Ovis aries: one gene and its partner. The protein of the gene in region 2 purifies or fractionates together with the protein of the main gene of each other region. This does not show direct contact. Links are inferred from orthologs where the notes say so. Each region holds a gene or a part of one and is shown on either strand. Other genes may lie near its edges.

What was found. The genes of interacting proteins can lie anywhere in the genome.
Region 1: the proteins of NIPSNAP2 (region 2) and HADHA purify together in Homo sapiens (affinity purification with mass spectrometry; 3 studies listed by BioGRID and IntAct, with this or other methods). This does not show direct contact. The link is inferred for Ovis aries from reciprocal best matches to the Homo sapiens genes NIPSNAP2 and HADHA.

What each region holds. Positions count from the first base shown.
Region 1 is NC_056056.1:33,460,664-33,464,661, forward strand, and holds the start of HADHA (trifunctional enzyme subunit alpha, mitochondrial), read right to left. Parts: upstream 2,801-3,998; 5' UTR 2,766-2,800; coding exon 2,699-2,765; intron 1-2,698. UniProt on the Homo sapiens protein: Mitochondrial trifunctional enzyme catalyzes the last three of the four reactions of the mitochondrial beta-oxidation pathway.
Region 2 is NC_056077.1:28,171,912-28,175,411, reverse strand, and holds part of NIPSNAP2 (protein NipSnap homolog 2), read right to left. Parts: intron 572-3,500; coding exon 432-571; intron 350-431; coding exon 304-349; intron 1-303. UniProt on the Homo sapiens protein: Protein involved in mitophagy by facilitating recruitment of the autophagy machinery required for clearance of damaged mitochondria.

The sequences.
Region 1 (3,998 bases), on a different chromosome or scaffold from region 2:
TATCTGGTCCTGGTGAAGGGACAGGATTATGTAAGTAAGAGTCAAATTTAAATATACACCATCTGCTAAGATATCTGCCTTCAATTCATTACCTGAGAAATTATTCTACTACTTATGTAATTAGGAATTCAGATTTAGAATAGAGTGGGGGGCAGAAAATAAAAGTGGGAATTAAGATATCTTGATCAAGATGTGATCTTCATTTGATAGTCATACTCAGAATTATAGCACTCATGCAGGAATGGGTTAAAACTTCAAGAAGTACAAATCACTGTGAAGAATTTTAATCATCCACCATTAAATATCATAGTCTCATTAAAAGTCTGGCACTACCTAGGCACAGACTTTTAATTAGTGTTAGTCTTTTCAGTCTAAATGGCAATCCAGGGGTGCAGGTAATTTTAAATTCACTTTCTAGGCCTTTTTTTTTTTTTTCAAAATTTATACATTGTTACTAAAAGGGGCTGCTGCTGCTGCTAAGTTGCTTCAGTCATGTCAGACTGTGTGACCCCATGGACTGCAGCCTACCAGGCTCCTCTGTCCATGGGATTTTCCAGGCAAGAGTACTGGAGTGGCAATAACTAATAAGTCATATTTTCTTTAAGAAAATTTAAATTAATTTTTATTAGAGTATAGTTGATTTATCAACACAATATTATCTTAGTTTTTGCTGTACAACAAAGTAAATCAGTTATACACATACATGTATCCACTCTGTTTTAGATTCTATTTCCATATAGGTCACTACAGAGTACTGAGTTCCCTGAGCTTTATAGCAGGTTCTTATTAGTTATCTGTTTTACATATAGTAGCATGTGTATGTCAGTACCAATCCCCCAATTTATCTCTCCCCTCAGCCATATTTTCTTATAGGTTAAAACAGAATGCAAAATATAGATACACATGTGTATCTATATTTCTATACAAAAAATACGGAAAAACTAAGCTTGTAACTATCACACATGTAAAATGTAAAAATTACTTAAAAAAATCTCAGATATATAAAATCATAGTTCTTCAGGGCAGGGAAGAGTTAATAGCTAATATTTATTAATAATAATAGCACTTACTCCATGAAAAACTGCTTTACACCTAAAATACGCCCTTTAAAGCTCACAAGGTGGTATTATTCCCCATTTCACAAATGAGAAAACAGACATAGAAATGACTTGCCCAAGGTCACCAAAGGGTAAGGTCACCAGTGGGTAAAAGGCAGAGCCAGATTGAAACTGAGAAGTCACATTCCAAAACTAATGATTTTAATTGCATTACCTTAAAATCAATGAAAGAGAAGTTCAAAAATATACATCTGATAATTTTAAAGTGTTAAACCAAAAATGTGGAAAACAATCAAACAATCAAACTCCATGACCAAATACTAACAGTAGGTATGTGAGCAGTAAGAGAAAGGGTGATTATTTTTTGCTTAATCCTTTCCCCCAGTCTTTGCAACATTTCAATTTTCTGTAGTGTTATGACAGGTATGCACACACATACAGAGCAGTCCCGTGGAGACTAAAAACACTGGTCGAAATAACAAAGCAGAAAAGGTTCAAACATTCAAAATTAGTTCCTTACAGTAAAGGCATGCCTCTAAAAACAACATACAGTGATTCAGAAGGAGGAAGGCATTTTATAAATTATATTTCTAGTTAAGTAACCGATATTAAGTACAACATGCGATAAAAAGTCACATTTCACCTTACAGATTTGAGAGAGAAGGAAAATGCTTAATTTTCCACAAGCACCCACTTTAACTGTTTCACTGCCAGTTTGAAGAGAAAAAGACAATACAGCTAATGCAAGCTAACTGGGTATAGTCAGAAACAAGGGTAGAAATAGTTGGTAAAATTATCTAACATCTTGTTCCTTAAGATACAAGGTATCTGCATTTTTTTTAAGTCCTTCTTCTGGAAAGTTGCAGAATCTGCCTCTTGAAATTCTACATATTATACATTCACACTGGAATTACTGGAGCTGCAAGAGTTGAGCTTCCTGTTGAAGTGTGCTACTGCTAAGTCACTTCAGTCGTGTCCGACTCTGTGCGACCTCATAGATGGCAGTCCACCAGGCTCCCCTATCCCCGGGATTCTCCAGGCAAGAATACTGGAGTGGGTTGCCATTTCCTTCTCCAATGCAGGAAAGTGAAAAGTGAAAGTGAAGTCGCTCAGTCGTGTCCGACTCCTAGTGACCCCATGGACTGCAGCCTACCAGGTTCCTCCATCTAGTGTGGTAATAGGTAAAAAGGTTGTGAGGGAAAGGCGTAGGGAATGGCAGCCATCCGCAAGGCTGGTTAATTTCATACAAGAAGTAAATAAGATGCTCCCCGTTACAGTCAAGGTGCAGTGAAGCACAAAGATGTGACAGATTGGACTGTCCTTGTCCTCTTAGTCCTCCAGTAGGGACAGGTTCAAGGCCATCATTAAAGAAAGTAAGAGGAGACCTACGGAAAATGCCAGACCGGGTGGACAAGACTCACAGACGTTAGGGGTTACGAAGCCTGAAATCGCTGCAGGACTCAAAACGAGAGAGAAAATGTCAGTCGCTGCGCCAGGGAATGAGACCGGGTCTCATAGCAGCATCACTCCCCCTCATCCAGGGCCGCGGCAGGGAGGCGGCAGCCACGGGGAGACGCGGCTCCCGGGTCTCCGCAGGAGCTCTGGCCCAGGGCGGTGGGGTGCCTTCAACCAGGCCTCACCTGAGCAGCGGAGCGTCCTGGAGGCAGTAAAGCGGCTGAGGCTGCCAATTGCTCGAGAGGCCACCATCTTGAGTGGGAGCGGACGAAAGTGGAAAGCCCTTCAAATGCGGGCAGCCGAGTAGAGGACTTTTCTTCTCGCAGCCTAGCACTGGCCAGGCGGCCGACGTACTGCCTGACTGAAAACCCGCGACTGAAACCCCGATGACGAGTGCCGCCGGCTCCTTAACCTTGCCCTTCGCCTCCGGCTAACGCCCCGTTAGCCGAAAAAAAAGGACACTTCCTCCGCAGGGAAGGAAGAAAGCGCAGAGAGGACAGCCTTCCGTATTTTCCAGTCAGGCAGCCGGCGGGCAGGCAGGGAGGCCTGTGAGGCCCGCGAGGGGTCTTTTCCAGGGAGGCCCCGCCTCTTGGTACCCGTCGGGTACTGTCATTCGGGCCGGAACCTTGCCTGCAGCTGGAGACTCAGCCGACGAGACCTAAGGTGAGAAGGGGCGTGCGCTCGGCTACCGCCTGCCCTTTCTCCGGCGGGGTCCGCAGTTTCCCGCCTGCTACGCCTGTGCCCGCGGCCGCCTGGTCTCCACTCCCTGGAGTTCTAGGGAGCGGAAGGAAGTTTCTCAATCCGGGTCTCCGGTACCAGTGCAGTTTGGGCAGTAATTTGGCCTAGCGTTCTGACTATAGCTCCGAGCAACGATGTCGCCTATGCCTTTTAATTTATCACCGCAAGTTAACGAACTTGTGTGTGTCGGTTTACAGCGCTGTCTTGTGTTCCAGTGGTGTTGTATCCCCTATTTTGCCTGTAGGCAGGTCGGCGGCTATTGAGAATCGGAACAGGGCCAGGAGTTTACCCCTTTTATTCTTCCGAGGGTGGATCACGGTTGTGTGACTTTTTTTCCTGTGTCTGGCTCCGACAGCCAAGGCTCAAGATCATTTTCTAATCCAGAAGGGAACCGAAGATCATCTGGTCTTTCATCTCCTTCACTGCATCGGTGAAGCCCAAGAATCAGAGTCAGTTTACCCATGGCCACAGGTGGTAGCCTGTGTCTACTAACTTCTAGTCAAGAGCTCTGCACTGCATAATAGCAGTTTTTGTGCTGGAGAGAGACGCTTGAGCCCTGGAATAAATTAATTGATTCCAAAAACTGATGTTGAGGACCCTCTAGGTCGTTTCACCGCCATCTCATTTAATCCTCACGATTCCCAAATTGTTACTTACGTTTTATAGGTAAAATTTGGGGGGCATGGAGATTTATATAAATTATTTGCTAGGTGGCAGAGCCAGATTCGGGCATAAATTTGTGCCACT
Region 2 (3,500 bases):
AGGGCTCCAGAAAGGACTCAAGCACTGGATGAGTAGCTGGACTGGACAGACTGGCAAGGCTCCTTCCAACCTGAAAGGCTGGTAACATTCCAAAGTCTGACAGTCTATGCAGACTTCGGTGAATAAGTGCTTAAAATCAGAATGCCCCTGGTAACCCCACACAGAGCTCAACTTAAGAGCCTCTCAATGTTCGGCTTTAAGAAGAGTCATGAAAGATCTCGTTCTGCTATCAAGGGTTAGCGCAACCAACAAATATTAAAATCATTACTTTTCCCCAAGTAAAGGATAGTTTGGTATACACACCAAATTTTGTTGTATGCTTCTAGGCATTCCGGTTTAACATTGTGAACTGAAACAAAAGAAAATTCAACGATAAACTTATGAACCAAGGGAAAAACGTTAACTATGAAGATAGCAAACCTAGGACTCACACTGTAATTTGTACAGACTGCTGGTTTCCTTTTTGGCTAGGAGGTTAGAGTGAGCATCTTTCCTTGGGTCAACTTTCCGGACAAACAAGGATTTTAACCAGCTGTCCTCTCGAGGTCTGTTATCGGAAGATGTCAATTTCCTACGGGATCACAAATGCAAAAATTTTAGTTTAATCAGAGGTACAAAGATGTCAGGGTCTTTGGGTGGTAGCGCGTGGCCCACTGTTTTCATAAACTCATCAATCCGTTCAGCAAACACTCCTTGGGCACACATTCGAAGCACTATTCTAGAACTTGAGATGTCATGTGTCCACTTTCCAAGCCAACAGTGTGCACTCTGAACGTAGGAGCGAAGTGTGAGAGAAGGAGCTTCGGCAACCTTCGGAGAGTCCTCACGTGCATCTCCGTGAGTCCTGCTGCGTTCTTCCCGTCTCCGAGGAAAAATTTCAACATAGGAGAAACATACACGGAAACCGAGAAGAGTCAAATTCACAGAGAAAGAAAGTACGCCAGTACGTTCCAGGGGCAGAGAAGAGAATGGGGAGATATTATTGATGGGTGAGGAAGATGACAAGGTTCTGCAGGTACACAGTGGGGATGATTATACAACAATGTGAATATACTTCATGCCCCTGAACTGTACTCTTAAAAATGGCAAATGTTTTATGCACTTTACCACAATAAAAAATGTAAAAAGGAATATATGGAGAAAGTGACATGAATTCCTTCCTTAAAAAATTATTTTACCCCTAGAGTCAAGATTTTTAACTCACAAAAACCTAAGAATATAAACCTCATTAACATTTAAATGACCTGCTAATTCTCATCTTGTAACTGAACTTCTACTGTACACACTGTGAGAGCGATGATAAATCTGACTGAACTAACAAGCAACACTTTACCAGTACAATTTTAGCTGAGTGTTTAACTCCCATATGCTTGCTAGTGGGATCACAAATTTGTGTGACTTCCCTAGAGGGCAGTGTGGCATTTATCCACAGCAAAATGCAAACTGCGTAGGCCTTTTGACCTAAGGGCTGCACTTGTAGTTATGTCCGAAGGGCAGCTATATTTAGACGAGTGCACACAGTTGAATGCAGGAGAGCATTCCTTATTGCCTTCCAGTTTGTTCCTGGTAACGGCAATCTGGACTCCATTAATGGGGACTGGGCAGATAAAACAAGGCAGATCCAAAATCAGGACAGAATGCAGTCATTAAAAAGAGGGAGTAGACCTACACGCACTGACATGTTGGTATCTGAGATGAGTTCCTTGAGAAAGCAGGCCCAGAACAGTGCCATAAATACACGCACAAAGTGAAATGCTAACAGTGAGGACATCCGGGCTATGTGACTGGGCTTGGGGTGTGAGGAGTGAGTTTTCCTTTTCACTGTATAACCTTCTGCACTCTGAATTTTCCATATACATATATTATTTTTATACTTAACATTAGCTAAAATACCTAAAAGTGCACGTTTAAAAACTCCTTTATGGGTAAGCTAGATAGCTATATATAACCTGAGAAAAGATTTTAAAAATTAAAGCCTGGTAGGGACTTCCCTTGTGGTCCAGTGGTTAAGACTCTGTTGCACCTCAAATGCAGGGGCTGCAGGTTCAATCCCTGGTCAGGGAACTAAGACCCCACATGTTGCATGGCATGACAAAAAAAAAAAAAAAGAATGAATGAATTACAATTCACACACCACATAGATGATTCTCACAAACATTGAGTGGAAGAGCCAGACACATAAGTTCAAAACCAGACAAAATTAACCTCAGGTGTTAGAAGTCAGGGCAGTGTTACCCTTGACGGAGCTCACTGAAAGGGACACAAGAACGGCTCTGAGGGCTTGTAATGTCCTGTATCTTGATGTGGGTGCTGCTTACACAGTTGTATTTATATTGGAAAAATTCATCAAGCTATAAATCTAGAATTTGTGTACTTTCTAAAATGTATGCTATACTTCAGTAACAATTTTTAAGTTAAAAGGGCTGCTGGGGCTGCTAAGTCACTTCAGTCGTGTCCAACTCTGTGCGACCCCATAGACGGCAGCCCATCACGATCCCCTGTCCCTCGGATTCTCCAGGCAAGAACACTGGAGTTAAAAGGGCAAATATTTTAAGTAAAATAATGCATGTAGGATCTTAGTTCCCTCACCAGGAATTGAACCCGTGCCCCCTGCGCTGGGAGGGGAAGTCTCAACCACTGAGCCAGGGAAGTAGCTCTCTCGTTTATTTTTAAGTACACGTTTAACCCCAAGTAAACACACTTAAAACATGTAGGACAGCACCTGATTAATGGTGAGAGATTTAAAAATTATTTTTAAAACGACTTTAAAAAACTAAAAAAAAAAGTTATATATAAAAACTATTAGATCTTTGAAAGTCGCTCAGTCGTGTGACTCCTTGCAACCCCATGGGCTCCAGCTCGTGGAATTCTCCAGGCCAGAACAGTGCAGTGGGTAGCCTTTCCCTTCTCCAGAGGATCTTTCTAACCCAGGCATCAAACCCAGGTCTCCCGCATTGCGGGTGGATTCTTTACCAGCTGAGCCACAACGGAAGCCCAAGAATACTGGAGTGGGTAGCCTATCCCTTCTCCAGCAGATCTTCCCGACCTAGGAATTGAACCCGGGTCTCCAGCACTGCGGATTCTCAACCAACTGAGCTATCAGGGAAGCCCTTAAGTATTAGCCCTTCAGCAAAAATCAAAATCATACGGTATTCATCTCTGTTTTCAATTCACTCTTTAATTATATAAACTAATTCTGAAGATGGCAATTCTCCTAATGAATCATGGTAAAATTCATTTCAATAAAAATAAAAACATTTTGTCAATTTGTTTCAAGTATTTTCCTTTTTTTTTGGCCCTACCCCATGGCTTGTGGGATCTTAGTTCCCCGACCAGGGACTGAGGCCAGGTCCTCTGCAGTGATAGCGCCAAGTCCTAACCACTATTCTACCAGAGAAGTCCAGTGTTTAAAGTATTTTAAACACACCACATTTTTGGATACTGGGTTAAATAATATCACGAGGCAAAATGGCAAGCATATAAAATTAGTGATATGCAAA